Linked DNA regions of Oryzias latipes. The protein of the gene in region 7 purifies or fractionates together with the protein of the main gene of each other region. This does not show direct contact. Links are inferred from orthologs where the notes say so. Each region holds a gene or a part of one and is shown on either strand. Other genes may lie near its edges.

What was found.
Region 1: the proteins of stx12 (region 7) and syntaxin-6 purify together in Homo sapiens (affinity purification with mass spectrometry; 4 studies listed by BioGRID and IntAct, counting the BioPlex papers as one, with this or other methods). This does not show direct contact. The link is inferred for Oryzias latipes from reciprocal best matches to the Homo sapiens genes STX12 and STX6.
Region 2: the proteins of stx12 (region 7) and napg purify together in Homo sapiens (affinity purification with mass spectrometry; 3 studies listed by BioGRID and IntAct, counting the BioPlex papers as one, with this or other methods). This does not show direct contact. The link is inferred for Oryzias latipes from reciprocal best matches to the Homo sapiens genes STX12 and NAPG.
Region 3: the proteins of stx12 (region 7) and vamp7 purify together in Homo sapiens (affinity purification with mass spectrometry; 3 studies listed by BioGRID and IntAct, counting the BioPlex papers as one, with this or other methods). This does not show direct contact. The link is inferred for Oryzias latipes from reciprocal best matches to the Homo sapiens genes STX12 and VAMP7.
Region 4: the proteins of stx12 (region 7) and vamp3 purify together in Homo sapiens (affinity purification with mass spectrometry; 3 studies listed by BioGRID and IntAct, counting the BioPlex papers as one, with this or other methods). This does not show direct contact. The link is inferred for Oryzias latipes from reciprocal best matches to the Homo sapiens genes STX12 and VAMP3.
Region 5: the proteins of stx12 (region 7) and snap23 purify together in Homo sapiens (affinity purification with mass spectrometry; 3 studies listed by BioGRID and IntAct, counting the BioPlex papers as one, with this or other methods). This does not show direct contact. The link is inferred for Oryzias latipes from reciprocal best matches to the Homo sapiens genes STX12 and SNAP23.
Region 6: the proteins of stx12 (region 7) and snap47 purify together in Homo sapiens (co-immunoprecipitation; 3 studies listed by BioGRID and IntAct, counting the BioPlex papers as one, with this or other methods). This does not show direct contact. The link is inferred for Oryzias latipes from reciprocal best matches to the Homo sapiens genes STX12 and SNAP47.

The regions. Positions count from the first base shown.
Region 1 is NC_019862.2:1,649,597-1,653,768, reverse strand, and holds part of syntaxin-6, read right to left. Parts: intron 4,114-4,172; coding exon 4,019-4,113; intron 2,482-4,018; coding exon 2,422-2,481; intron 2,074-2,421; coding exon 1,945-2,073; intron 1,868-1,944; coding exon 1,761-1,867; intron 1,755-1,760; exon of another isoform or gene 1-1,754. UniProt on the Homo sapiens protein: SNARE promoting movement of transport vesicles to target membranes. Targets endosomes to the trans-Golgi network, and may therefore function in retrograde trafficking.
Region 2 is NC_019875.2:4,618,107-4,622,278, forward strand, and holds part of napg (gamma-soluble NSF attachment protein), read right to left. Parts: intron 3,649-4,172; coding exon 3,631-3,648; intron 2,700-3,630; coding exon 2,669-2,699; intron 2,585-2,668; coding exon 2,475-2,584; intron 2,309-2,474; coding exon 2,242-2,308; intron 2,167-2,241; coding exon 2,096-2,166; intron 1,987-2,095; coding exon 1,908-1,986; intron 1,421-1,907; coding exon 1,341-1,420; intron 1,235-1,340; coding exon 1,105-1,234; intron 1-1,104. UniProt on the Homo sapiens protein: Required for vesicular transport between the endoplasmic reticulum and the Golgi apparatus.
Region 3 is NC_019868.2:26,863,141-26,867,079, reverse strand, and holds the start of vamp7 (vesicle-associated membrane protein 7), read left to right. Parts: upstream 1-1,139; 5' UTR 1,140-1,359; intron 1,360-1,754; 5' UTR 1,755-1,789; coding exon 1,790-1,935; intron 1,936-2,042; coding exon 2,043-2,100; intron 2,101-2,225; coding exon 2,226-2,363; intron 2,364-3,939. Other genes in the region: DNA-directed RNA polymerases I and III subunit RPAC2, read right to left, coding at 638-676. UniProt on the Homo sapiens protein: Involved in the targeting and/or fusion of transport vesicles to their target membrane during transport of proteins from the early endosome to the lysosome. Required for heterotypic fusion of late endosomes with lysosomes and homotypic lysosomal fusion.
Region 4 is NC_019863.2:28,591,362-28,596,151, reverse strand, and holds the start of vamp3 (vesicle-associated membrane protein 3), read right to left. Parts: upstream 3,274-4,790; 5' UTR 3,166-3,273; coding exon 3,164-3,165; intron 2,254-3,163; exon of another isoform or gene 2,127-2,253; coding exon of another isoform or gene 2,125-2,126; intron 1-2,124. UniProt on the Homo sapiens protein: SNARE involved in vesicular transport from the late endosomes to the trans-Golgi network.
Region 5 is NC_019880.2:4,943,121-4,947,292, reverse strand, and holds part of snap23 (synaptosomal-associated protein 23), read left to right. Parts: intron 1-156; coding exon 157-271; intron 272-3,063; coding exon 3,064-3,105; intron 3,106-3,355; coding exon 3,356-3,404; intron 3,405-3,761; coding exon 3,762-3,879; intron 3,880-4,172. UniProt on the Homo sapiens protein: Essential component of the high affinity receptor for the general membrane fusion machinery and an important regulator of transport vesicle docking and fusion.
Region 6 is NC_019875.2:28,044,809-28,049,381, forward strand, and holds the start of snap47 (synaptosomal-associated protein 47), read right to left. Parts: upstream 2,759-4,573; intron 2,425-2,758; 5' UTR 2,408-2,424; coding exon 1,911-2,407; intron 1,792-1,910; coding exon 1,289-1,791; intron 950-1,288; coding exon 825-949; intron 1-824. Other genes in the region: jmjd4 (jmjC domain-containing protein 4), read left to right, coding at 3,131-3,383, 3,468-3,633, 3,724-3,849, 3,932-4,199, 4,466-4,573. UniProt on the Homo sapiens protein: Plays a role in intracellular membrane fusion.
Region 7 is NC_019869.2:17,750,641-17,755,267, forward strand, and holds the start of stx12 (syntaxin-12), read right to left. Parts: upstream 3,029-4,627; 5' UTR 2,913-3,028; exon of another isoform or gene 2,896-2,912; intron 2,350-2,895; 5' UTR 2,311-2,349; coding exon 2,214-2,310; intron 1,769-2,213; coding exon 1,699-1,768; intron 900-1,698; coding exon 800-899; intron 341-799; coding exon 203-340; intron 1-202. UniProt on the Homo sapiens protein: SNARE promoting fusion of transport vesicles with target membranes. Together with SNARE STX6, promotes movement of vesicles from endosomes to the cell membrane, and may therefore function in the endocytic recycling pathway.

The DNA.
Region 1 (4,172 bases), on a different chromosome or scaffold from region 7:
TGGTTCAGAGAACAGTGTTGCTGCAAACGGTGCATTGTCAGTTCCATCAGACATTGCCAGTGTTTCTCCAGCAGGTGTGCTCCTCACAATTCTGTTCACTCTCTTTGAGGGGGAGCGGTGAAAACTTTCCACGTTCTCCCATTAGAACTATCAGGTTTCCTTCTTGAGTGGCTCCATCTGAAAGATTGCCAAATGAGGCATCACTGAACACCCTCATCTTGAGGGCTGAGTCCCTGCCTAGAAGCTCAAAGTTCAGAGCCACCTCACTGGATTTCAGTTTGCACACCGTTCTATTCGTTTCATGGATTTAAAGCATCAAACAAGACTTTTGGTCGACTCTGCCTTGCAACCCAGAGAATTTGTCCAATCTTGGGCGTGAGCAGATCTTTTTCTTTTGCTGACAGAGATGAGTCTTGCTGTACTCAGCAAGCACAGCATCCAAGAGACACTAAATCTATTCACACATAACAAAATGCTCATACTGCATCCGGAAGATCCCTCTTGTATGTACACATTTGAGTATACCGCTGTTCAAAATCAATTATCTAATCCGTCACGGATACATTACTGTCTCTCGTTATCCAAACTTGAGTAGGTCCGGTCTTTGTTCTTTGAGAAACCGATCATCTAGCTTTATTAGTGACGTGTCCTGTGTCCTTGAGCAAATCCTCCTTTGATATTTCTATCGCCACGTCTCTCGCTTGCCCAGAAGAAAGCGCCAAAGGAACGGAGAGTGCTTGCTTCTTCTTTTCAAGGTCTGTAACTCGGGTCCAACTTATTTTTTCCAACTTTTGTACGGTTTTCCTTCGTCAAAGGTTTGTAGGACTCTGTAGTTGCTAATCATCCCCTGCTACCAATGTTAAACAAAATTGAAATTCACTTCGCAGCGTAACGTTTTCTTTATTCATTCCACCATCATCAACACAACAACGACCCATCCCATCCAACCGGCCCTTTCACAATAAGAACATGATGTGCAATTACCATAAAACAAGAAATTTGTTATTTAACAGTTCCTGTCTTTATAGCTTAACAACTAGAATTTGGCAAAGAAGGACCAAAACCAGATTTTGATGAGCCCTTTTTCCACAACGGCATCGTGAGAGGGGCAAAATTGTAATTATTTTTCCCTTATTTGATTGTGGCAACAATTTAACTTTGTGGCTCCTTCTAACATCTGCTGTGTAATACACATATAGTACCGAAGTTGACCTGTTTATATGCTGTTGAAGTGAGCTTCTGTTACAGCTGTTATCTGGTAAGTCTTGAAGCTCTCAGCAACACATTGAGTCCTTCATTTCTAAATGAACCGAATCATGCTACCTTTTACCTGAACCAGGTGTGTTTATTCAATCAGAATGTGGAAGCACCTGACTGAGTTAACCAAGCAGGGATTAGAGATGTAGAAAACTGGGTTTTCTAGACGGGGTGGTAGGACGACCAGGAGTGAGCAGCACTGATCAAGACCCCTAGACTGTGACTGAACTCCTTCACTGCTCTCTACACAGTGCACTTTCTGTAGTGCTGGGCAAATCTACTATTCCAAAATCTGGAAGACTTCAATGCATTGCATTTGAACGACTTGTTATTTTTAATTAAAAAAAGTATTTACATTTATTTTTTTATAATTAATCCACAATTTCACCATCACAACACAGCAGATTCATAAACGGTCAGCCATTATCAGGTGTTGACGTTGGCAAATGGGTGATGTCATATTTGGCATTAATGTGTTTAAAGGGTCAGCTTGTGGTTCTTACTCAGCCTGTTCGTCCAGCTCCACGCCGATTCTTTCAGACATGTTCTTGAGAACGTTGATGGACCCAGACACCAGTTCCAGCTGTTCGTCCTGCTGCTCTGCGATCAGCTGAAACACACACACCAGCGTTTGGTCTGGGCTCAGCATCACCTCCATGCCCCCATCTGTTCTCGGTCCGTCTGTACCTGCTGCTGCACCTGTGCCTCCTCAATGAACTGACTGTTGGCGCTCTGCAGCTGATGGTCAAGACGGCGGTATTTGTCTGAACCGGGCTGCCATATGCGTCCTTGAGCTCCACGCTCACCGAGCAAAGCCTGAACACAAAAGAAAAGCATACAGTGGAGCAACAGAAGTGTTCAATCAGCCATTAAATGTGTGGGTTCAGAGGCCTGTAATTGCCTTCAAATGTAAACTTCAACTATGAGAGACAAAACAGGGGAGAGATATCAGGGATAAAGTCTGTAGTGAGGAGTTTTACTGCCTTCAAGCATCTGTGCTTATTGTAAAAAATAGATCCCCCACTTTGTGGATGACAACTATAGCAGGGGATTGTAACTCGCGCTATAAACGAGGGAGCGCTGTACTGGAGTTTAGGACAAAGTTTCATGATGTCATCCTCTGTCAAAGGTAGCATTTGTCTAACCAGGAGAGAGACTTGGTACCTGTTTGCTCTTCCCGTCCAAGGAAGCCGTTCCTGGAGACGACATCTGCTCCTTCATCTCCTAGAAAAGAAACGGCAGACTATGTCACGAAGTGAAGACGTCACATACATGGATTTATGGTTCATTACAGAAAACTTGGTCATGGCGTCTCACTCTTATAACAACAGCGATGAACCAGAACTAAAAAAATGTATTTTATGAAAAAAAAGTTGGATATAATTATATGGCACTCTGTGTAAACAGGTTTTTAAATTTTGATCAGAAATAAGAAGTTCTCTTTGTCCTCTCATGTCACTTAAGAATATCTTATAGTAAAGCTTGGATTCAAAGTGATGAAAGTTTTTGTTTGAAGTTTAAAAACCCTCAAAACTATTGACTGTTTAGGAGAACAGGAGTGAGAAGTGTGTCGTCATCTACAGAAAATGGGTTACTTCCTTCTGTTGACGTTTTTTCCCCAACACAAACGCCACCATGTTGGAACAGTATGCAGTGATTGGTCTGAGTCATCGTTTCTATGGTAACCACTCACACCAAACACTTAAACGTGAGCTACAGAAAATCTGTCAAACGTTCAACCTGGGGGCCAGCAGGCTCCTCCTACTTTTATTGAGGCATCTGATTGGTCCGTTTGTAACTTGAATAAGTTTAAATACAAAATACTAAATTTGGATTATCAAGAAGATGTTAAAAAAGGTATCAGATCCAGAATGGTTCTTCTGGCCAATAGGATGACTGAATAACAGCTGTTTAGTTCTCTATAGGCTCTATGGGACTTCCTGAAACCAGCGGGTACTTCCTGTTTGGAGCGCCAGGGGGGAGGAGTCCAAGACAACTGATCCGTGTTAAGAAAATAACTAATGGGGCATGTATGGTTAGATTTCTGATGTAAACTGTGCTATAGCACCCCCCCCCCCCCTCGTAAATCTGAAGCACTCCTGAAAAAGCTGCAGTTCCCCAGAACTAAATCAGCTTTCAGTTAAATATAGTGTTAAAATAAGACGTTAAAAATATATATTTACCGTCTTGTCTGAAAGATCTTTTGTGCTTTATTTTTTGTAAAATCACTGAAGTTGATTTTATGAAGGCCTTCCTTTCTGTATTGTTTTTTGTTTTTAGATGGACTCAACAAAACTCCCTCTTTACTCTGTCAGGCCCACCATTCAGACAGCTGTAACATGTTGTTTTGTTTAGAATAAGTATTCCTTGTTAGGGAATCGTGACACGTGACATTATCCCACTGATGTCTTTGCTGCTATTAAAAAACAAACCAAACCTTTCCAGACCAAATGTGTTCCTGTGGAGGGGATGCTTTCTAAAGGATAATCATTCATTATGTGTGCAAACAGCTGAACAGTAAAGATCATCTTTTTAGTTTAGGGGTCTGTTATGCTGCCCAGCGTCAGGCCACCATTCTCTCCAGATGTGATGAGTTCTACTTTTAAAATCTTTGAGGGCTGTACTTGGAGGAGCCATTGGTCTTCAACTATTTCAATGAACTACCAGACTGACCAAACCGAAGGGAACCAGACCACCGTGCTGCAGACGTTTGGGGTTCCTCCCAAAGCGAGTTCACATCTGAGGTGTGGCGGAGGCTTACCCTGACCATATGTCTGGTGCTGGTGATGAAGGCCTTCCTCTTTGACAGCTCCGCTGCATCCAGATTAAACTTCTTTGGGTTTGACTCTACTATGCGTTTGCAATGTGTTAAGGAACATGCTTTCTCTGTGCTGAGCTCCAATCCCAGAACCCCA
Region 2 (4,172 bases), on a different chromosome or scaffold from region 7:
TTCCCTTCACAAAAACAGGAAGAGTCCGGCTGCACTGATCAGACATGCTTTGCTCGCGAAGAGCATTTAGCCACACCGAGTGAGCACTGACGTCATCGCCCCGCCCCCCCCTAGAAATGCTGACTGGTATTGACTTATGCTACACTTTTTGCGGGGTGGATGTGAAAATGAAAATATAATCCCCTCTTTGCATTTTCGTTTTAATTATGAAACAAAATAAGCGTTTTTTAAGTAGATAAGGAAAAAGCAATTTGAAGAATTGATTTTTCATTTTAATTTTGAGTCATTTGATGCAGCTACATTTTGAAAATGGAAAAGCATTTCCGTTAATGCATTTTAATTGTCAAATTAGACATTTCTAAATGAATTTTGCTACACATTTACCAGAGAACTTTTTGAAAATTAAATGTCAAACACCATTTTCTTTATCGTTTTAATTAAGTGACAGAATAATCAATGTTGAAGAAGAAAATGAAAAAGCATTTAGGTGGATTGCTTTTTCATTTTAATTTTGAGTCAAAAAATGCAGCTTCATTTTGAAAATGAAAAAGCATTTCTGGTTTTGACTTTTATTTTTAATTATGCTCCAGAAAAACTTCCATACATAAAAAAGTGAGCATGGTGTCCAAATTGCTTTTAAAATTCAGGTCACAACATCTAGTTTTTTAGTAGTTAGGGGTTAGGGTGGGAATTTGGACACAACCTAACAGATGTAGGTTATAAAGTGAGGGCAGCATCAAGAAGCTGCAGGGGAGGAGCAGCTTTTTCTCTGTTGGAAAGACACCTAACATGGAAACTTTGACAGGAAAAGCAGCAGCTTCAAAGTTTTCTGGCACTGATGCAGATGGCAGCTCATAGCTGCTGTTCACGTAGGAAAGAAAACAGTCACACGGCTCAAAATGACACCAAATAGAGAAACTGTTCTCATTTGTGAACGTTTCTCATCTGAAAATCAAAGGCAGACTGGGAAAAAGGATGGATCATAATTAGGATGGAACTGTAGAAAATGTATAAACCTTGTAATATCGTAATAAGACGTCCTATAGAACAAAAAAAGACAATATCTTCATGCTTATTTAAGAAAAATGTATCATCAAAACTTACATCATTATCCATATACTTCAGCAATGGAGAGTTGCACACGCGATAAACTTGGTCTTCATCCTGCTCATCAAAGCCTTGTAGCAGTGTCTCCATGGCAACGCAGTCTTCACTTCCACTATAGCCAGGCAGACTGGGGGATATTAAAGCAGGAGTCCAGTTAAGTTTCAACAGGATCACACACGAACGTGAAGAAAAGTCAACATGAACCAGACGTCCATGAACGTCTGGAGTCGTACCTGTAACTTTCTCTGACGCATTTATCTGCTGCCACATAGTCCCCTCTGTGAAGGTGAACCAGCACTTGAGCCGTGGTTTTCTACAGAGGGGGGGAAACACAGGTTCAGCAGGTACGCCTCGTTTTTTTCTTTAGATTCATCTCTGCACTGGTCTGTGATCAGGATCGCATGATTCTGAAATTGTTATACGTGTTTTCTGAAAGCATAGAATGTTTATCAAAATCAGGACTTGCTTCAACCAGTAGTTTTGAAGCTCTGATGTTTAACCCTTTTGCTATCTTGTGGGGTCCAGATGACCCCACTGGGGTCATCTGGACCCCACAAGATAGCACAAGGGTTAAGACGGATCTGATTTAGACATTTCAATGCTGACTGACCAGCTGACGTAGAACAATGCGATGTGTTGCTCCCTGCTTTCAAAAACTCGCTAATAATTTGATAACACATTCCAATCCTTTCTTGAGCTAAATCCTTGAATCTCAGTTGTGAATGTATTGCGAGACATTTCTGAGACAACAATAGCCAAGAGAAGAGGGAAGGAAATAGCAAAACAAGGAGTTGCTGCACCTTGAAACACATCGGGAAGTTCTCAATCTCTTTGTACATGTTCTTCTCCTTCTGCAGAGCGGTTGCAGCCTCGTCCAGCCTGGTTTACCAGACAAAACCAAAGCACAAGCAGACCAGGGTTATTCTGCAATGATTATTTACAAGAAGGAAGAAAAAGCCAAAATCTCCTTGGCTCTGGTTTGTTTGACCTTTTTAACCGAACCAGAAGTCTGGAGGCTTTCCCCAGCAGCTCCACAGCCTGACGCAGGCGGTCCTCATTCTGGACACAAAACAAGCAGGTATGAGGATGCAAAACATAATCAGAGAGCTGATGCAGTTCTTGAGCTGTTCTTACCTCGAACACTCCAGCTGCTTTTTGGTACAGGTCAACAGCTTTCTCCAGGTTAATAGGCTCAATCAGTCTGAAAGGGAAGACTAATTTTAAGTTCCAAAGTCAACTGAGGGTTCCTTTTTTCACTAAAGTCTGACGAGCAACAGTTTGGTTATTTCCACGTTAACAATAACTAAACTTCTGCTGAGTATTCAAGCATTCCACTCATGCCAACAAAAAAAAGGTTTCTTTTTTACTTTCCAGCGCGGTCCAGAGCCATGGCAGCAGTATCGGGAGTCCCGTTCTCCATGTACATCATGCATGCCTTCTCTATGTACTGAATGGCTTCCGGCATCTTCTTTTGTTCCTGTTGCAGCAGAAATGAGGGGGAATTACAACGGGACAGCGAACGCACCGCGGGGTTGTTAAGGCTTTCCCAGCATTCACTCACCTTCAGCATCATGCCTGCTTGTTCAATAGCTCTGGAAAAAGAGGAGCACTTAAAATAAACATTGAAGTTTTCCTTTTATGTATATATCAGTGACGTGCAGTCAGGAGAGGCAGGTGAGGCACAGCCTCACCTGTCATTATGGGAAGAAAAGAGAAAAAATAAATTCAATTATTATATTTAATCAGTAAGTTGTGCTTTGCGGTCATTTTCCATTTAAATGTACCATTTTTGGGTGTTTTTTCTTTTCAAAATCGCTGAATTCCCGCATTTGCCGTTCAGATACTAAGTGACCTGCGATGAGGCACCAGCCCGCTGAGCCTCACCTTGGATTGCGCAATACCTATGCAGTCAGACGGTACTGCTGTCTCTCTGTATGTCGGTTCAATCACTTGTACTATATGAGCTGAGTTTAAATAATTTAGCAGATGTATATGATGCACAGTGCTTGTTTTTATAAATAACTGTATGTGAGGGACGTGTTTCTTGTGCTGAGCGCTAAACGACGGCGAAAAAGCCGCTGGGTGAGGCCAGACATTCTCGTGCCTCATGTTGCAGTTCTCGTGCCTCATGTTAGGGGGCGCCGGTGAGCCCTGAGATTATGACGCTAAAAATACTAGAAGAAGTGATAGCAAGCGGCAAGTCATTTTCTTCAGAAGGAGCGGCGTATGGACTTTATTTACAACTAAAGGTAAGACGATAATAACGTTTGTGCTTTTTTCTATGCTGCAGTTTGTATATGAAAAAAAAACATGTTGAAATTATATTTTAAACAAAACGTTAACTGTTGTCAATCAAATGGTGAATAAGTTACTCAGTTATTTATACTCATGGTTCATATGTTTGTAAATCTGACTGATGACGTCAGTGCCTCACCAGCCATTAACCTCACCGCACGTCACTGGTATATATGTGTGTGTGTGTTCAATGTCAGAGGAGGGATATGAAAAAAAACAAATACTCACTTTGCAGCATGAAAAAGCCTGAATTGGAAGTTAAGGAAACACCACCTCCCCACATACGTGTCTTTGTTTTATGCAGAAACTAAATAATCTGTGGTACATCTGTAAATATTAAAATGAAAAAAAACAAGTCTTTTTACATAACAAAAGTTTCTGGGTGTGTATTTCTCAATATGTGTAATAGTTATCTGAAACTGAATATGTGCTCCTCTGAGAGGGAACAGGGTTGCACTGGGTTGGTATTAGGGCATGACGACTATTCCAGGATTTATCTTTTTTTTTCCCTTTTAAAATGTCCTAAAGCAAATAATATCATATCATATATAGCAATGATTGTGATTATTGAACTTGTGTTTTTTTAGTCCATAAACGTCTTTATGCAGCTCAGTGGACTTGTGGTAGAGTGTCCACCCTGTAACTGGAAGGTCATGAGTTTAAATCCAGGCTGAGACATACCCAAGACCCTAAAAATGGGACCTAATGAATGCCTCCCTGCTTGACACTCAGTATTAAGAGCTTGGATTGTAGTAAGTAAGTAAGTAAGT
Region 3 (3,939 bases), on a different chromosome or scaffold from region 7:
TATAAGTGAATCTTGAAACATTTTAGTGGGTTTGTTGCTGAAAAAAATACAATTGAGAGCCATATTCCTCCTACAACAGTGTTTACATACATTAATTTGTACTCCATGAATATTGTTTCTCTGTTTTAGTGATCTTTGAGACTATGGACGTTTAACTTTTTTATTTTAATATAAATTACAAAAAACAAAAATCAGTTGTTTAGTAGGGACTTGTGGGACTATAATATATATATTTTTAACGTTTAAGTACATTTTAGTTCACAAATCTTAAGTAAACACTGCTTGTTTTAAAATACTGCCCCCTAGTGGGGATAAAAGACATCGCAGGATTTTGACCAAGTAAACAATGACATGTAGTAACACACTAAAATATAAGCTCAGTTTTATCAAATAAAACATGATTTTGGTTTCTTTTTAAGTAATATAAATTAACAAAAAATGTTTATATACGAGTAAAAGGGATTTTCTTATGAACAGACACTTCATCTTCCACGTGAAGTCTGCAGCCGGGCGGTGGAGAAAGCTAGCATTAGCTTCTTCGATGTGTTATTATATATTTCACCTACACAAACTTTAACCAATATACAGTTAAGTATCTAAATAACTGATCAAACAAAACGACATTTTCTTATTTTACCATTTCCAGTTTGGGTTTCTTCTCGCCATCCCCGGCCATGCTTTTCACGTCGCTCGCACTGCAAAGTATGAGCTTTGTGTTTCTTCCCCTTTATTTTTGACTTACAGGCTGAAAATGAAAGTGTCGCCATGCTGTTATTATTCATTAATAACTGAACCCGCTTGGTTGGACATTTATTCCGACTACAACCCTAAGAATAAATGTTTTATTTAGTCTGCCATAAAGAGATATGTCGATTTGAAGTGATGACACAAATAAATTTTGTTAAACATAGACATACAAAACATGCAATTAAGAAAAGATAAACGGATCGAACTTAAATTAGGTTGGTGATGAAGTACTACCTTTCACTGCGCTAAAAAGTAACATTCCTTAACATTTAATTTGCAAATGCATTCAATTTAGCGTGTAATCGTAGCCTTTAAGGCTAAACTGAGGGGAATTCCTAAACAGTTGCTCTTACGCATGAAAACATATGACGAAGACACATCGTCATTTGTAGTTTAGGGAAGTGTAGTTCAGAATGGTAGAAGAGCAGCATTCACTGTGAAAGAAATTGCAAAAAAGAACTACATTACCCAGCGTTGGTCAGTGTGTGCTTCCGGTCCAAAGGATCCGCAAAGCAGAAGTCACTCGAAAGGGATTAGCTAGCTTGCTAGCAGCTGACACATTATAAATGTGGGAAAATAATTAGCTCGTTTGAGTGGCGCTGACACGTTAAGGTATCGTTTTGTTTTGTTTTTTTGCAACAACGTTTAACTTACAAACAAAAACTTGAACTGACACTTTGATTAACATTTTGGTCTTTTCGTTGACGCCACCACTGTTCCGTGTTTATTTCAACATTACTTACTACGCTAGCTTGCTGCCGAATCAGTCTTTGTTTTTCCCAATGATTTATACCACAATAACACGCATAGGGATGTTGGGTGTAATCGTTTTTAGTATTTTTTTGTCTACAATACACAATTTTTTTCCTTTTCTTTCTAACTCATCTTAACGGAATTCCGGTGGGAGGGAGGGAAGGCGGGTGGGGGCATTTTTGTTTTACCTGAGCTCCACCTACCAAAAAACAACAACAACAAAAAGCTTATTCCTTTCCTTGTTTATTTGACAGAAAACTAACGTAGCGGAGAACCCAGCTGTGTTACCATGGCAATCCTGTTTGCTGTGGTGGCTCGTGGAACCACGATTTTGGCCAAACATGCTTGGTGCGGGGGCAACTTCCTGGAAGTCACAGAACAAATTTTAGCCAAAATCCCCTCAGAGAATAACAAACTGACCTACAGCCACGGCAGGTACGGTCCAGTTTGCTCCTTCATCTCAATAATTGTCATTATTTTGCCCACAATCAGGGCTAGTTTCTGGGAACGTGTAACTGATGGTGTTTCTATTTTGTTTTCAGTTACCTCTTTCATTACATCTGCCATGACAGAATCATATACTTGTGCATCACTGATGATGTGAGTATCTTTGGACTTTTTATTTTGTTTTGATGTTCAGCAATAGTTGGGAAGGATGTGACACTGGCACAAAGCTTTAAATACGTGTAGTTGCATTTATCGTGATTGAATGTTTTCTGTTAAAGGACTTTGAAAGATCTCGTGCATTTACCTTTCTTGGCGAAGTCAAGAAGCGCTTCCAGACGACGTATGGCTCCAGAGCTCAAACCGCCCTTCCCTACGCCATGAACAGTGAATTCTCCTCAACGCTGGCGGCTCAGATGGTGGGTTGAGCGTGACAGATTTCCTTAGAATGCCATATGACTTTTTTTAGAAGAAGAAAAAGACTTTTGCTTTAGTCATAACCAGAAAAGCAAACTTCTTCTATTTTTTTTCCTATTTCTTTTGGTTTTAGTTTCGTTTTTCCCCCAGAGTAGTTAAAAACGTCCTTTTTCTTTAAAAAAAACCCTTTTCATGTCAATTTCAGCTTTGTATAGTCAACATATTGACAAATGGGTTTCAACTTCCTTCTCTACAATCGTGGCATGTACAAAAAGATCAGCAGATGGTCACATGACCACTCTGGCATTTTAAGTACGTTTTAAAGTCAACCTTTGTCTGCTGCATTTGAATCTGTATCATTTGAATTATATCTGAACATTTTCCTGACCTGTGCAGCATAGAGATACAATTATCTGTCTTTATTAAGAATTTTCATGGAAGTGCTGTTTTAGGGATGTTTGGTATTTGAGGACAGACAAATATCTGAACCTCTAATGTATTATTAGCAAGGGTTTTCCAGTGTTAGTGTTAAAAAAAACATTGTCCTTTATTTTCCACCAAATATCGAAGTGATATGGTCGAAGGAGTAAAAAGTTTTTTTTTGTTTTTAAAGGAAAAATGAGTGCAGATTTTCAGTGTTCCTGTGGGGTGTAGGTACCATAACCATTCGGCCTGCAATAACCGTTCGGGGTCCTTCGAAGAGTGCTGACGTCACATTATGTGATTGGATGTCTGTTGGTCCGATCACGTGCAGTTTTTAAACTGTTGCAGTGAAATAGAAATGATGTTTTAGGTTGTTTTGCTCTTTGTTCATACACCACAAGTTATATCGTCATCGCAATATCAGATAGTGATTGGTCTGGATAAATTACGATACTAACATAGAAGAAGATATTATGCGGTCCGTTGTAAACATACAGAGCTCCGACACAGAGAAAGATTATCTTCTAAACGTGCTTTTGGTAATATTATGATTAGGCCTGCACAATATATCGCAAATTTATCGTTATCGCAATATCAAGCTGTGCAATATGCATATTGCAAAAGACGGCGAAGATCGCAATAAATGGTTACCTTAAGTATGCTAAAACAATCTGATGGCAGTATTTAACGAAGCAAAAATAATCCCTTTTATGTTTTTGACCAATCGGATGGAGCCCTTTTGTGTTAGATGTTCGTCTCCTATGTAGATGTTGGTCATTTGCAATGCAGTTTTTAAACTGTTGCAGTGAAATAGAAATGATGTTTTTGGTTGTTTTCCTACACCCCAAGTTACATCGTCACCGCAATATTAAGTTTTCCTCATGACATGTAGCCCTAAATATTATTATTATTAACTGCATTGCAGCTGAACAGACTGCGTTCTGAACTCTTCTCCGGACCGCACACTATAACAAAGCAGCTTCCCAGCCTGCGAACACGAAGCTACGAGACTCCAGCTGCTCTGCTCAGAGACACGGTTCACTCGTGTGGAGCAGCAGGTTCATTCTAACAGCCACAGATCTTTTTACAAAGTGGCTTGTGGCAAAATATCTCTGTAAATATTACAGAGAATAATCTCAGACACATCTTATGAGG
Region 4 (4,790 bases), on a different chromosome or scaffold from region 7:
TGTCTGTCTGAAGCTTTTTTCTAAAAATCCACTAATGAATCTAAAAAAAAAGCAAATCTGTGCAATTTAAAGAAAAAACTAAAGTTTTTCTTGAAACTACAAAAACGTCTGAACTCATCCTTTTCCAGGAACAAGACTTTTTTGTCAAACATTTTGGTTGTTTTACTGATAACAGCTTTTAAAAATTATTTCTTGATGTGGCCCACTGTTGAACCACTTTTTTTTTTAAACAGAAGAGAAATAACTTGAAACTGTTGCTTTAAGGGTTCCTCTGAAATTATCAGATAGGAGAAATAGAGTTTCAATGTTTGGAGAATTTTAATCTGAGGTCATGAGTGTTTAAGAAACCAGCACATCAGTCATGAATTGAGCATTGCTGCAAGAACTATCTCTTCAGGAAATAATTTAGTGAAAGATTAGGTTTTTACAGTTTAATTGTACTTAAAATATTTACATTGGTTAAGTGATTTGTAGAAATACAGCATTTTAAAGAACGTTTAGTGTAAAGCAAACACCTCCACAAGCAAAGAGATCTTTTGGGAGGATATTCTTTTTAATACTTGGTTGTTCAGATACAAACAATAATCAGTGTAAAGGGTATTATTCTTTTAAGTAACAAAAAAGCTCCACAAACACGGGAGAGCTCTTAAAACCAGACAAGATTTGATAATGATATGGGATTATTTCATGACAAAATATACTGGTTTATCTAAAAGATACAGTCGTCAAACAAATAAAATGTAAACACAAAAATAAAGGAAAAGACACAAGAGGAATAGAACTCAATCAAACTGTCGTCACAAAATTTGTTTCAAAAACATCTTAAGAACTGGTTCAAGACGCTCCCACAAATAATGCCTGTTTACCTTCTTCAATCAAACCATGCCATCATAAATGTCAACAAGTTAGAAACAATGTTTTTATGATTGTATAGTGCTTGTGATTGTCTCTCCTGGTTTTAAATTATCATTGTATTGTTACCACTTAAGATGTTTATCAATTCCTACTGTTCTATTATATTTGTATTTAGTTTTTACATATTGTTTATACTGCTCTTTTTTATTTATTTATATTGCATTTTTACTCTTTTGCAAGCTTGTTATATACTATAATTCTACTTTTTGTTCATGTTGTATTTTTGCTGGAAATTTCACATAGTTTTAAGGAAGACAAGGTTGGTACCAGTCCAAGGACTACTGATGAATAATAGCTTTATGATGTTTTTTAATGCACAATATCCCTGTTAAATAAACAGATAAACGAACAATTATTTAAATAATATGTCCCTCATATTTGTTTTTTCTAAACAAGCAACAGTTTAAAAAACGCTCCGTTTCATCTTTTATAGAAAAAATAATAATAATAATAATTATTGAGGTCATCATCCAAAGTTAATATTAACTTACAAAAAAAGTTGTATTTTAGTTAAATCTCCTTCCAGAGAATTTCTACTGCTGAAATTAAATTAAATTTGAATGTCAGTCACCGTTCCCCAACTCTGTTCATGAATATGTCAAACAAGTCTGACTTTCATCAAACCTTATCCTAATTATTATGCTCCTATATTTATGCTTTTTATAGTAGACATCGGTGATGTTATATTATTAAAAATAAAAAATGGTACATTAAAAAACCAAACAAACAAACAAAGAGAGCAAGATATTGTGTTGTTGTCACTCCAAACTAGCAGTAATCCGCATATTATGAATGTATGTGATATTGATATTGCGTTGTTAAACTATATAATATGGGCAGCTAACTAGAAGAAGCGAGGCCGACTTCAGACAGACAGACCGGTTCAACAGAAACATAAACTTGACCGTACTTAACAGATAGTCCTTCATTATATATTTTGAAATTTTAAATAAGTTCTTAACCACCTAAAAAAAACGATGAAAGTTTTCCCAAAAATTGACTTTTAAGTAGCAACAGCGCGCGACTGCTAACGCTAGCTTAGCTTTCATTACCTTCAGAAGAGAAAAAACGAGCTAACCTATTTAGCACTTGTTGCATGCTAGGAGCAAAGTTTAGGGCGTTCTCTTTTCGGCGTTTCATAAACGGTAACACGACACACATTAGGTTGAAAATATTTCAAAAGCTACGAAAACAGGTTTATAGACTTACATGATGAAGATTATTGTGTTTTAACGACACCGCCGCTGTTTCTCGATAGTTATTTCTCCGCCGTAACAGCTAGTGCTGTCGTTTGAAATGCTGCCTTCAGGGTCGTCGGAAACGGGAAATACCAAACAGTGAGAATTATTGTTCAAGATTGACTAATTTCAAGAAACTCCGTTTCAAATGGTTGTATGGTTACAAAAACTGAGATGTGGTAAAGATAAAAAATAATTCATAACATAAAAACGTTATTGGGCTTGTTCAAACAGACACTTTTGCAGAGAAATATAATTATTTGATCAACCATTCTTCTTTCTACCCCTAACAGATGTAAAGTAGTAATTGTTTACTGGATTTAAAAATAATAAAAATAAAACATTTAATTCAGTGTAGTATAGACAGTCTTAAAAATTACATTTTGAAGTACGGAACACCCTCCCCCCTCACCCCAAGATCAGATTTCAAGAACTCAAAAGGTCCAGTATCCTTGTTTAGACAAAATCTCAATACTCAATAAAAAATTAAATCTCTGTGTTCCTGTTTGTTATCATAGAGTGTAATGTGTGGAGAAAGCAACGACAAGCTCATGATCAGCATGTGACAGGAAAACACACAAAAATTCCTTTAGCTGCCTGTAGTTGTTCACAAAGCAATTTTATTTTATAAAATGCTCAGAGAAATAGAATAGTCATTAAAGAAGACAGACGCAGAAACTAAATGGATCACTTGTGAATTGAATAACAGATATTAAGAAAAAACATCACAAGTTTGAATAAAAGAAGTTTAATAAGTTCTTAACCACCTAAAAAAACGATGAAAGTTTTCCCAAAAATTGACTTTTAAGTAGCAACAGCGCGCGACTGCTAACGCTAGCTTAGCTTTCATTACTTTCAGAAGAGAAAAAACGAGCTAACCTATTTAGCACTTGTTGCATGCTAGGAGCAAAGTTTAGGGCGTTCTCTTTTCGGCGTTTCATAAACGGTAACACGACACACATTAGGTTGAAAATATTTCAAAAGCTACGAAAACAGGTTTATAGACTTACATGATGAAGATTATTGTGTTTTAACGACACCGCCGCTGTTTCTCGATAGTTATTTCTCCGCCGTAACAGCTAGTGCTGTCGTTTGAAATGCTGCCTTCAGGGTCGTCGGAAACGGGAAATACCAAACAGTGAGAATTATTGTTCAAGATTGACTAATTTCAAGAAACTCCGTTTCAAATGGTTGTATGGTTACAAAAACTGAGATGTGGTAAAGATAAAAAATAATTCATAACATAAAAACGTTATTGGGCTTGTTCAAACAGACACTTTTGCAGAGAAATATAATTATTTGATCAACCATTCTTCTTTCTACCCCTAACAGATGTAAAGTAGTAATTGTTTACTGGATTTAAAAATAATAAAAATAAAACATTTAATTCAGTGTAGTATAGACAGTCTTAAAAATTACATTTTGAAGTACGGAACACCCTCCCCCCTCACCCCAAGATCAGATTTCAAGAACTCAAAAGGTCCAGTATCCTTGTTTAGACAAAATCTCAATACTCAATAAAAAATTAAATCTCTGTGTTCCTGTTTGTTATCATAGAGTGTAATGTGTGGAGAAAGCAACGACAAGCTCATGATCAGCATGTGACAGGAAAACACACAAAAATTCCTTTAGCTGCCTGTAGTTGTTCACAAAGCAATTTTATTTTATAAAATGCTCAGAGAAATAGAATAGTCATTAAAGAAGACAGACGCAGAAACTAAATGGATCACTTGTGAATTGAATAACAGATATTAAGAAAAAACATCACAAGTTTGAATAAAAGAAGTTCGAGATAACTTGTGTTTGAATCAGTTTCAGGTACACACAATAACAATGGACATGGATCATGTCTCTCTAGATTAAGAAAAAAATTTAAAAAACTAAAATCTATTTTAGTTAGAAAAAATAATAGTCTATTTTCAGGTATTCTGAAAAAAGGCGTTATATTTTCAGACTAAATGCAGACATCTCCAGCTCTCATTGCACACACTAATTCTTGCAATCAGGTTTCTTAATGTTTTTGCTTCAAAATAACATTTCATACATTGATCATTTCATACATATATATATATATATATATATATATATATATATATATATATATATATATACATACAATTTTTTTTTACTTGTTGAAAGATCTACTTTGATTTATCAAGAGTACATGCTAGCTGCAATAATTTGCAAGGTTGTGGTTTGTCTATTTGCTGTTTCTCAACTGAGGTGGTTTGCGTTTTGGCTCCGTTCCAGATCCTTCAAAAACCTCAGCTTCCTTTGCAGCTTCAGTTGGTTTCTGGGGGGGAAGTTTTTTTTTAAATCAATGCAGAGGTTTTAGTTTTATTTTAAACACAAATGTTTATCCATATTTTAAAGGTTAAAAAAATAGAGTTAGAAGTTACAGTGATTGTTTCTTTGGTGGCAGCAGCTCCATTGTGCAGCATGCTCTGACTCTCCTCCTGTTAACGCACAGAAAGTTTTATTTCAGTGACTTATGAACAGACTTGAAATAAACAACAAAGCACTTACTTATATATGTGGTAACATGTTTGGATAAATGGGTAATCAAGCTTTCTCTGTTGGCCATGCGATATGTGGAGCAGGCACATGAAGTAAGATAAAGTCGGCGTTAATGGCTTT
Region 5 (4,172 bases), on a different chromosome or scaffold from region 7:
TTAAATTCAAATGTTTGTCCAATCCATTCACCTTGTTTTTTTTTCATCATCACCCATAGTCCCCTGCTCAGCAGTTGAGAGTTGGTCCTCTTTGTCTGCTTTATGGTAATCGATGGGATACTAATTAGTACCTGATGACCTCTGGCCTTCTTTCAGGCCTCAGCATATTGAGCTCGGTGCCACGGGAGGAGCCCCCAAACAAGACAGCAGCAACATGGAGGACATGAGTGTGGAACAGATGGCTCTGAGGGCCAACCAGCTGACGGATGAGGTGCTGACTCCTCACACTCCTGCTCCTGCTCCGTCCCTCTGTTTCTTCTGTTTCTCTCTGGCTACAGATTTCTGTATTTAATGAGCAGCCTGTGACAGCTGAGTCTGATTTTTCATTCAATCTTAATGTTTAGATGATGCATGAATGCAAAAAGCGGTTGGAAATCATTCCGTTTGGATTAGAAACGCCGTAAAATATCATTTTTATTGTTAAAAGCGACATTTTTTTCAATGTTTTTAGAAGTTTCTAATGTAACTGAGGGTAAACGGTTTAAACAAAGCGTTGCTCTCTGTCACCTTACACGATCTCTGTGGTCAGCCGTTGCATCCAACGGCCAAAGCTGCATAAAGAACAGGAGTTCAGGTCTCAAACTCCTGCAGTCCGTCTAAACGAGCTGCATCAAAGGCTTTTCTGGTGGGGGCGCCGAGACGTGACCTTCATCTCTGAAGCAAAACTCAGAGATTTTCTCCAAAAATGAATGTTTCAGCAGCTTAGAAGTGTGGAAGATAGACGAACCCCAAACTCTGACGCTCATTATTAACACATGATTATCTCATTAGTTCAGTCTGTTCAGCCTAATGGATGTCGTATTTAATAATGAACTCATTTATCTTCGATAAGGATAACTGGGAAAGACTTTTCCTATATGTTCAGGTTGGACAATAGTTTCTGTAATCCTGTTATCGGTGAGGGAGAATCGACATCTAAAATGTTTTAGCCTTTTAGAAAGAGCCTAAAAGAACCCGTGTTGAGACATCGCTTCCACTCAGCGTCTGATAAATGGATGGAGGTTACAGGACGCGTCGGAGGGATTCTTCCTGCTTCAGTCTGACGGCTCCCTCTGCGATCCGTCATCTTCCAGTAATTACTGAATCGGCACTCGAGGGCATCCCGCCGTCAGTCAGCTGTTGCTCTGCACCTTCATGCAGCTCACACTGGTTGATGTTTGTCTGCTTCCTGACTTAACCTGCACCTTTGCTTCTATCTCTTCCCTCTTTCTGCTGCCGCCTGGTTTATTCAGGAGATCATTCAGGGGACCTGGGAGGGCCCCTCTGCTAATTCCACTTACCGCTCGTGCTTTGGGTAAACACTCGGAGACGCTCTGACCATGGCTGACAGTTTATCAGGACAATCTCAGATAAATGGCAGCTGGAGCTCAAATGTAAAAAACCAAGTGGCCAACATTTTCTGTCTAGTTCTAAAGTTAAAACATGTGATTCATCCTGTTGAGCTGCAGCCATCATTTTCTTCTTTTCTTCTCTGACAGTCAACTAACATCTTTTTTTTTAACAAACTGTCGTTTTAAGCTGTGATTTGTCTGAGTTCAAGTAAAGGAGGTCACAGACTCTCGGTCGGAGTCGCAGCTTCGCTCTGCTTCCTAACAATAAGAGGCGCAGAAGGGCGGGGCCCACCTGACCTGACCGCATTCCTGCATGTGCGCTGCGGTCGTCAGGCTTTAGGCTGACAGTCAGAGATCCATGAACGTCTGCTCTGGAAAGACATTTCCATAAAACTCTGGTCTAATTCAAAACAATCAACCATTTGCTTAGTATTTTTCATCATTTATTCAGTTTGTTACTCATTTCTTCTTATGTCAAACGTGTCAAATAGGAGAAAAGCCTGAAGTAACAGGTCTTATTTATGCAAAAGTTGAACCATTTTTTACTTTAAATCTGTAAACATTTCTGAACAGGTTTTATTACAGGAAGTTGACTTTTATTCTCCGTTTTAAAGTAAAAAGAAAAGTAGGACTGAACTTTTATTTGTACTCTTAGATGCAGTTGCTGTTTTTTTCTTTATAAATAACTGAAGTTGACGAGGCCCAGTCTCATTTTTATTCATTTGTAAATGAAACGGATGAATTTCCTGAGACTCTCAGAGAAAATATTAAATTCTATTTTACAGTTCATGATTCAGTTCAATACCGTTTTTACTGTCAATTATTTGAAACCAATTTGATTTTGATTATAAAAGAAAACAAATTTCACAGAACTATTTATATAAATGAAATAAAAGAACAATTTTCATTAATGAAGTTGAGTTTTTACATTAAAAACTAAGTGATCGTTTATTTTTTGTACACACAATAAAAACAAAAGAACTTGTTTGAAATGAGGACATATTTTTGGATCTGATTACTTGACGTTGATTCTCTTTGTTGATATCATTTATTGTTTTCCCCCCTCTAGCTCTGATGTTGTTAAATAATTTTAAAACAGATATTTTTTGTTTACTTCAGGTTTTTTGTTCTTTAAAAATACTTTTAATATGTTGTATATTTTAGGAAACATATTTTTATAGATGAATAAATAAATGCTTATAATTTAATAAAACAAGTTCTGAATGTTCATAAACTGTCAAAATGCAAAAATCAACCTTTTCTTTTTTTAAACAGCATTTTGAATTGGGCTTTGTTCAAATTAAATGATACTTTGTACTAAATACTTTGTAAATACTTACTTACTTTGTAAATACTTTGTTTTGTTGTTCATTTCCTTTATTTTAACTCAATCTATTTAATCACCTCTTTACCTTCAAATAAAAATCAAATATCTCAGTAAATAAAGCAAAGAGTTAAAAGAATAACTACGTTTGAGTGTCTGTTTACATCCAGTCAGAAGCGTTTCAGCTTGGAAGGATTAGATGCGTTTTTGTTTTTGACAAAGACGACTGAGAGCTGCGGCTGGACTCCAGCTGCAGTTTATGTTTGATTCTTTTATGTAGCACAGAATCCCGTTTAGCTGGTGATCCTTTTTCTCTCTTTCAAACTGCTGCCATGTTTTCTCCTGCAGTCGCTGGAAAGCACCCGGAGGATGAGGCAGCTGGCGGAGGAGGTGAGGCTGCTGCTGCTGCTGCTTCTCTATGAGCAGAAGTCACTCATGGTGGACAAGTTGGCGTCTTTTGTTTCTCCTTTCATCAAATAAATATAGAGTTCAGTTTTATCCTCTCAACCTTTATGACACTTAAAGCGATGAACGTAATTGGAAAAATGTTATGCCTATTCATATTTGTTATTTCAAATTTCAAATCAAATGTCTTTACTCTAAATCATCTCTGAAGGATTGTTCATTTTTTATTTTATAGAGCCAAGAGACTGGGGGCAAAACTCTGGATATGCTTGATATGCAAGGAGGTAACGCAGCATAAACATTTGTTTATCATGTTGGAGAATAGAGACGGTCCTGAACAGAATCTTCCTCTTCTTCACTTCAAAGTTTTTGCTCTTTGATCCTGGAAGCAGATCTCAGGATTTCAGGGTCTGCTTCCTGACCATTTTGTTTAAAAAAATATATATATATTCACTAGAATTCAGAAACATACTTTACAACAAAAGTAGAAACGCTCATTGGTTCCTTTAGCTTTAGACGTGTTTCTGAACTGAATTTCTTTTAGCTTTTAGCTCTGATGACACAAAAACTGGATCCATTTTTGCTCTGCAAGCTGTTTCCAACAGCAGAGATGAAGATGTTGAAGTGTGTTTGTGATTCAGAGCAGCTCAAAAGAGTAGAGGAGGGCATGGAGCAGATCAACGAGGACATGAAGCAGGCCGAGAAAAACCTCAACGACCTGAACAAGTGCTGCGGCCTCTGCACCTGCCCCTGCGACAGGTACGCCGCTGCTGCTGCCGGCGCCGCCGCCGCCACTCAGAGTGCAGGAAGAGTCCTGTTGGATTGTTGGACTGCATTCATGCCAAATGTTGGAATCAGGAAGAATGCTGCACGCGTGCTCACATTGACATGTTTTGCAAAAGCGGAACATTTCATTTATTCATTAAAGCAGAATCTGTTTTATTCTTCTGATCCATTTCTGTTTTTATTCCGAGTTCTTAGTGAAAGTGTGACTTTGAAGCTTTTGTGTGACTTGTTGTTTCTAAACACAAATCTTCCTCAAATGCTTTCAC
Region 6 (4,573 bases), on a different chromosome or scaffold from region 7:
AGTGGCTTGTTATCTCCTAAGAAATACTCATAAACGCAGTTTTAATCCAAAAGGATTTTTTATGCGTCCTCCATCATGTGAAAATGCGACTACGACATGTTAAATATTGATAATAATTCCATTAAACTGAATTTGGGTTACATTCATTTATTCCAGCAGACACAGTATTTGCAAAGCTTGTCTTAAAACACGGCACTTTTCACAGAAATGTAAAGTTTTCTCTCAAACAAACTGGTCAAATACATTTTTTAGTGTTTAATATGAGGGATTGACATAATATGGGCTTGTGTGTGTAAAATAAACAAAAGAATTTATTTGCAAAACGTATAAAACTCAGTTTATCCAGAGAATTGAGCTCTTCTACACTTCAAAATGATTTGCTCTGCCTTAAAAAAATACGTTTGGGTGGCATTAACCGGGCATTTGGGTGGCATTCTTCCGCACGTGTGCCGCATGAGTCACAATTATATCTAAAAAATACTTAGAATCTCATTTGCGTCACTGCGCAGGTCTTGCCACCACAGACTGTGTCTGTAACTACTCTCCCAGTTGTGAGGTTCTAGCTGGAAAGGTGCAGTAAAGTCTGACCAAATAACTCACCCTGTCGCTTTTCCTCTCTTAAAACCAGATTGGTCGCTGGTTTGTGGTCTCACCAAATAACATTTTAAACATACGGCATCAAAAAAAAAGGAAAATCAAATTGTGGGTTTGGAAAAAACAGAGTTTGGGCGAACCAAAGAGATTATTTACAATAACAACCAAGGACACTTTCATTTGTTACCTGATGCTGCTGTACATTGTGGACCCATCGAGAACTGTCTTACCTGCTTGAGTTCTTGGGCCTCAGCCTGACTCACAGATGGCTGGAGAACATGCACCTGCAATTGGGACAGCTCTCCTGCTGGGACCTCCACTGGGACCTCAGTCTCTTGGCACCTCTGCAGAAAAACTGACTCCATGGGTGGAGGTGATGAAGAAAATGCAGAGTGCATGTGTTGTTTGTGAGGAAACCAGACATTCAACTCAACAAGTGAGGCAATTGGGCTGAAGTGAATCATCTAAACACGTTTAAAGAAAAACACTAACAAAGATGACGAAATGTTTTTACATGTGGCAGCACCTTTGCAGTTTAAAAAAAAAGAAAAAAAAAGAAAAGATCTCTGCTGCCACCTAGTGGTCAAGATATCCACAGCTTTAGACTTTAGAATAAAAAAATAAAAAATCTCTGCTGCCACCTAGTGGTCAAAATATCCACAGCTTTAGACTTTACGATAAAAAAGTGCCTTACCGTCATTCAAGCTTGTCCCTTCTTTATCGCATGGAGATGACAGAGGAGTTGCTTTGAATGATGTGTATTCTTTTGTGAATTCAACCTTTTTCTTGTACTGCATCTCCAACACGGACATTGCTTCTGGCATTTTAGCAGAAAGGAACCGGTGACATATATCTGGTTTTCCGATGAACCGTTGTCGAACAGTAATCTCATATGGACTGTACACCTTGATTTCATCAACTTCGTTCCGTTCATATCGGTGAAGGAGGTGGCAGTTGGTGTCCCGTACCTCCATGGAGGACACCAGCACCAGCAAACATCCAGGTTTGAAGTCCGAATCTCCGCCTCTGGACACCACTGCCGGGATGCTCGCGATCACCTTGTTCTTGGTCGACGTCCCGCTTGAGGACGCCACAGCTGCTGCTCTTGCAGCATCTTCAGCCTTGGCCTCCTGTGCGGCCTTCCAGGGAAGCTTTCCGAAAGGCCACCACGAGGGCACCTCGAGTTGTGAGAGGAGTCTGAAAGACAAGTCACGTTATATTCAAAGAAAACAAAACGTGCTTGCAAAAATAAATAAATAAATCACTTCACAAGGGAAGAAAACAAATCAATAAAACAGATGTTTTGAATTAATTACTTATCAGCCACTCCTAAGTCCGAGTCAATCTTCTCCAGCCCCTGCATCATGCTGTCAAACTGCTCTCCCTGATGGCTGAGGACTTGACCCGTGTCCTCCAGTCTTCTTTGAGCCCCGGCCATCAGACTGATGAGCTCTCTGCCTTTAGTGGGATGGGGTTCAGCCCCTTGGCTCTCAGAGCCAGGCGACAGCAGGCGCTCCCTCCAGAAATGCACCAACACGTTATAGACTACAACCCTGTTGGGCTGTAGGGAACCAAACCAGTGCTTGGTGTTGCCTTCCTCCAGCACTGTAAGGGTGCTGAAGATGAAGCTGGAAGATTCCATCTTGATTTCCGTGATCCGGGACAGACGGAAACTAGCCAGATTCTCCCCGTTCTGGCTGGAGACGAAGCGCACCGTGGTTCTGGTGAGGGACAGGGTGCCGGTCTCCCACCTCTTCTCACTGTTGATGTAGTAGGAGCCAGGCCAGTTGTGGATGGGGAAATCTCGACTCATTTTAGTACAAAATTAAACTAAAAAAGAAAAAAAAATCCCAAATAAATTTACGACGTATGATAATCTAGTCAATCCACTTCAGTGGTTGGAGTGTAAACATCCTTCTTTCCGTGTGTAATCCCGTCAGAAGAGGACCTCAGATAACGCCTTAACTTAGTCGTCACGCACAGGGAAATAAACTATTCGAAAACAGCAATGTTTCAATGTTTTTTCATTTGCTAAATGTAAACCTTTTTACAAAATATCAACCGTAAACACTGGATGGGAACATGTGTTTTATTTCCTGCCCAGATCCTATTTGCTACGGAAGTGACGTCACGATCTAGCACGGCTGTGTTTATTGTCCGACTAGAAAATTGAACTCGCGCACGACAAGGCTATGGACACAATAATTGCTCAAAACAGGGCGCTAATTTGCGGTAAATGAACAGATGTTTGCGTCATAAGCATGACGGAAATGAAATAATCGATCTATTAGTGACGCAAGGAAACGCGGTAATTTTATGGCGACTTGTAATAATGGAAGACACGAGTGGAATAGCGTTTAGTAAAACCATTGATTATTTATTTTTTAGGTTTCACTTCACTGTGATTACATATTAGATTTCAAAACATATATTATATTTACTGATGACAACCCAGTCTTGATGCTTTATCTCAGTTCCATGCTCTAACATGCCAGCCGGGCTTGCTAACTAGCTAGCCGAGCTTTTGTTTACCATCATGGACAGAGAGGCGTACCGTTACTGCAGCAGCCTGGTCAGCATCCCCCGGCAGTCCTATGAGCAGTTCTGGTCCTCACACTTCGTAGACTACATCGATAAGGACATCAACTATTCGAAATTTTTAAAGAAATATTTACTGCCCAACCGGCCCTGCGTGTTTTCGAGAAAGTTCACAGACAACTGGAAGTGCAGACAGCAGTGGGTAACAGAGGAGGGGAAGCCGAGTTTTCAAAAATTGCTCCAAGACTTTGGTAAATTAATTAAGACTGTTGTTGTGATGACGTCATGAATATATAGTGTATGTCAGCTAATGCCTGTCTGTTTTGAAATATCAGATGAAACTCTAGTTCCTGTTGCAAACTGTAATGCAAAGGAATACAATGCAAACCCCAAACAAGTGATGCAGTTTAAAGAGTTTATACACTATTGGAAGGAATACGTCCAGAACGGTCACTCATCCCGGAAAGGATGTCTTTATCTGAAAGACTGGCACATGGCAAGGTATCCTGTGTCTCAGTTTTACATTGAGAATTGCTGATGTATGTGATTCTATACAAACGATCTGCATTAATCATTAAAAATGTCCAACAGAGACTTTCCTGAACATGGTGTTTATTCAACACCAGTATTCTTCTCCTCTGACTGGCTTAATGAATACTGGGATACACTTGAAGTAGATGACTATCGGTTCGTCTATATGGGCCCTAAAGGGTCGTGGTAGGAAGAAATCCAACAAAGTCTCAGTAGAATTTGCGTCAGTCAGGCGTGTTTTTCTTACGTTGAGTTTTGTTTTCACCAGGACCCCGTTCCACGCCGATGTGTTCCGCTCCTACAGCTGGTCTGCAAACATCTGCGGCAGAAAGAAGTGGCTCCTGTATCCTCCGGGTCAGGAGGACTTTTTACGAGACACGCACGGCAACTTACCCTATGACGTTACATCGGCTGAGCTCCGTGACAGCGGTCTTTTCCCGCGCTTTGAAGAAGCCTGCCAGCCTCTTGAAATCATTCAGGAGGCTGGGGAAATCATGTTTGTGCCAAGTGGCTGGCACCATCAAGTTTATAATCTGGTGAGGACTGTCAAATATATCAAACATTTTAAAATTTGAAATATTGTATTAAAGAGGGTTTATTTTTTGTGCATTCCTAAACAAGACAAGCCGTTATTTATCTCACGATGGGGACATTCTTTTGTCTGCAGCAGCAAACAAGACAACAAAATAACAAAAGTGACAATCAAATTAATCATCATGGTTACTGGTGTGTGGCAGCAAGGCTCAGCAGCTCTGCCTTTTCGTGTTCTTCTAAATGCAGGTTTGTTTGTTTTTTGTCCCAGGAGGACACCATCTCCATTAATCACAACTGGCTAAATGGCTGCAACATTGATATCATGTGGCAGTTCCTCCAGAAAGAGCTGTCCTCTGTTCAAAAAGAGATAGATGAG
Region 7 (4,627 bases):
ATAGTCACAATAATACACAACTGGATTTGGATTAGATGAATCATCAGATAAGTTATGGGACTTTTCAAAATAGGACAATTAAAATCCTAAGTAGGAGAAAAAATGCTGATGATTAACAGGTAAAAGGAAAAATAAGGAATATTGTGGTTGTTTTCCACACTTTTCCTGGTGTTGTGTGAATCCATTCCTGAGTCTCACTCACTGAGAGGCGGGATCCCGCTCTGGCTCTGGCTATGGACTCCCGCTCTTTCTCGGCTGCGTGTCGCTGAACCGCCTGGAAGTTGTTGAGCGCCGCAGAGAAATCACTCATGAGCCGGTCTCTCTGAATCTTCTGCTGCCTCTGGACAGAGCAGAGCACCCAAAGCACATTAGGAGACACTTTTTAAAAAAGCATTTAGATAACGGTTAAGATTTTAAAGTTCAATCCTGACAATCACTTTCCAACATTCAAGCAGCAACATTGTAACTTAACTCCTATTTTTTCCTAAAGATTTTCAGGAAAAATCCCTGCTTCCTCTGTATCGTTTATACATAAACTCGGCTTTCATCTCCTGCTTAAAATTTACAAAACAAAAAATTAGCAAATCTCAACTACAAGAATCGCCTTCTTTTACTAATATCTGATCACTTCAGAGGTCACAACAGCAAACCATCTCCCTCCAGTTAAACCTTTCTGCTGCAAAAATACTTTGAAGTACTGCTGCACACCGTGTTTGGAATACTGCAGTCAGGGGAGACAGTTTTGGTAAAAACTCAGGATTTGGTCTTCATGCAGACGTTTCAACAAACTCCCACTTACCTGTTCAGAGGGGGATAGAGGCGCAGGGACAGAGCCTAGTTCTTTAAGGTGTTTGTTGGTTTCCTTCGCAAGCTGGTTAGTGTAGTGCTGGATCTGCTGCCTGCAGAGAAAACTGTGCATCAATAAAAACAGGACTGAACATCAGCCACAAGAAGAAGCTGCTTCCCAGATTCAGGCTATTACAGTCCCAGCCATTCTGCTCCACACTAAAGCACACTCAATGTGTAATGCACTACTGTTAATGCATCTGTAAATTGCTTTTATTGTCAATTCAATTCAAATAAAGCTTGAAATTTTTAATTTTCTTAGTATTTTTTTTTAAATCAAATAATAGAGCTTTTCTACCAGCTCTGAAATAAATCAAAATTTTAAAATTCTTTGCAAAGTGAAAACACGCCATCAAAAAGTGTGACACATTCATTTAGTCGCAGAAGACAAAAGAGATTATTGAAGTTTACTCCACAACCACCAGCAACAGTCATTTAACCTCTTCCTGGTCTCACAGCATCACTTAAATGTGCAAAGCAGGAGGACTCCTGGGTCAGTAGATGTAGGTTTTGTAGCTGAAACCAAATTTTGTCACCAAAAAGCCTGAATTATAACAATTTTAAAGGTTTTACTTCTCAATACATATGATTAACAACAGTGTGTGCAAGAAATGCATGTAAAGCAAACTGGCTGTGTTAGTTTTTTTTTTCATATTGTCTTAAACATAAGTCAGGGTGCCTTATTGAATAATTGCATCAGTGTTGGTCTCATATTCAGCCTCATTAGGAGGTTATTACCAACAAAGATAACACTGATATTTGCATCAGATGTTAACCAGCTAGAAAACCTCCATCTGCCTGTGTTTTCATTAAAACTGGTAGAAAAAAATGAAACAAGAAATGATGACATACAGACGATCGTGAAGTTCACTGGAGTCTTGCCTTGTCCCTTGCTGGTTCACCATGGTCTTAATCTGTGCGGCTGTCAGGAAAACAGAAACAATCTTAATCTCCAAAACCTTTACTCAGGGATCATCTGTGTGCACAGATATCAAACAACAACACAGAAAAAAACACAAAAACCAATCCAAACCGCAGAAGCAAACGAGCTAAGAAATAGTTTAGTGTCCATTCTTGTATAGACAGCAGAAAATGCAACTTAATTTGTGAGTTTTGTACCAAAGAATGTAAGCACTTATTTACTGTACACATCTCAAAAAGGAAGCAAACCTGAACATTTAGAATAGTGTATTTTCCTGAAGCACTTGTGATGAATTAGCCATGTGATTGCTTAACCTGGATCTCCCCCCCTGAACAGGCCTGAGTTAAGCAGCAGATCATCACGATTCTTGTAAGCATTCTCACATGACTTCTTCCTGAGCCAGTGACTAACAATGAGTCTCAGCTCCCAGCAATGGAGGACTCACTGTTCTGTGTGATCTTCTGGATGTTGGAGCTGCATGTCTGAATAAGGGAGCCAAAGTCCCTCGGGACAGGGCGGAACTCCGCTTTACCGTAGGACATGTTTGAGGCGGAAGGCTTGGCTTTGATGTTGAGCTAAAACTGTGCATGCAAAAAAAGAAAAGGAAATTTGAAAAAGGCCACAAACTGTTATTTAACATGAATAATTCAATCTAAAACTCCAAATGTAGGTCGGAGGGAGAATGCAATCACGCTTCAAAACTTACTAAAACGCACAGACTAAAAAGCTGACATTTATTAAAATCATCACACAAAATTATAATACAGACTAGTAAAGTATATACAGAACTGTTAGGATTTCGCTGCTTTTTTTTTTTGACATGACGCACACCATAAGACCCGTACGCTTATTTAACTAACCAGCAGATGTTGACTTATAGACAAACATGAAGCCGCAACGTTAACATATTGATAGTATAACCACAACAATGTTACCAGAGCGACGTTCTGCTAACGGAATTTTACATCACAGAGTGACATTCCCAACAACACGTAGCGGAACGATGCTAACGTGTTAGCTAAACGTGCTAACTTCTAAGCGTTAGATTATAAACGATGAAATCGTTGCGTTGCATATTTAAAATAGCGTTTAATCGACATTTGAAACTACGAAACAAGGTAACTGACGTTTATTTTATACTTGCATATGATTCAGCTGAAGAAACAAATTCTCGCCCTTCGATCAGGGCTTGGTTCCGGATTCAGCTGAGATCACCGAGCCCTACTTCCTCTGACAACCAATCAGGTCACGCATTTGAAACCAAACCACCAATCAAAACGCTGTAGCGTGCCCGGGTCCAGTGAGCCACCAATCAAAACTGAGCATTCGACTTCCTGGTATGTGACATTTCGGTATGACGTTGTTTTTTGTTGTTTTGTTTTTTTTAAATGCTCATACAGACCAAGTAAGGGTGAACAAACGTTATAAATGCGCATATAGAAAAAAAAGAAATTCCCGGGTCCAGATTTTTCATATAGAAAAGAACATCAGATAAGGAAAAAAAGGGAATATTTAAAACTTTGAGTGACAACCAACTGTGAATATCAGTCCAAAATATTTTTGCAACTGTAAAAGAGATGTTCTACGTTTCAGTTTCAGATGAACAGAATATGCGTGGTTCTGATTGAAATTTGAATCTTTTATGTAAAAAATCTCCAACAGGGTAAATTTTAGATATTATTTTAAAATGCGTTTCTTTCATTTTAGGTGGAAGTGGGTACTTTGTGTATAAAGAAAAAGATTTGTCCATTAGGGTGGTTTCTAAGTCGCGTTCATTGTTTATGCTAAAGTTGCAGAAAATTATTTGTTTAAAGGTTAGAGTTTATTGTTGCCTTTTTTATCTTTTAGGGGAATATCATTAACTTTTCCATTAATTCTGGAAATTGTGGTTTGATTGCATTGTATTGTAATATGTTATGAATAAGATTAAGTAAAGGTATGGTAATTGCTTAACAGACTTTGCTATAACAGTTACTAGAATCCTTAATTTTGTATTTAGTTACAAACCCATTGTATGATAACAGCATTCCATCAGTACGCATCAAGTCATAGACAAAACACACACCATTATTCAGAAATAAACAAGGATTTATTGTTTACAGTTATAAATCTGCCGCCACCAGTGTGTGAATGGGTCTGTGTTTGTAAACCGCTTTGGGCCTTGTAGGTAGAAAAGCGCTATATACTGTAAGTGTACGCCATTTACACCATAACTGCGGGGTTGAAGATGCTGCAAGGGAAAACATACATGGAGTGCCATTATCAAGTGGCTGGAATAATATACAGAAACACGTGTGCAGAATATGAACTGGAAACCTCAAAGTCAAAAAGAGAAACACCTCTGAAGGTGATAGAGAATGAAAGGGCAAAGATCCTGTGGGACTTCCAGATACTGACTGACAGGATGGTAATGGCGAACCAACCAGACATTGTAGTGGTGGATAAAGAACAGAGGAAAGCCGTTGTGGTGGATGTGGCAGTGCCAAGTGATGGGAACATCAGGAAGAAGGAACATGAGAAACTGGAGAAATACCAGAGACTCAGAGAAGAACTGGAGAAAGCCTGGAAAGTGAAGGTGACAGTGGTGCCTGTGGTAATAGACCTTTTTCACACTTCCGCATTTTTCGACCGGAAATACGTCAATGACGTGTAAAACAACTTCCTGTTAGCGTAGCAGCAGATATGAAGAATGGCAGAGTCGAAGAGTTGCAGTCTCTGTTGCGTTCCAGGCTGTTCGTCTTCCTACCAAAAACAGCCTTACTTTTCATTTCATTATTTTCCTGTGGATCCAAACCTGAAACCCAAATGGATATAGGCGATGCGAAGAGATGAAGGGCATAGTTTTAATGTAAACACAGG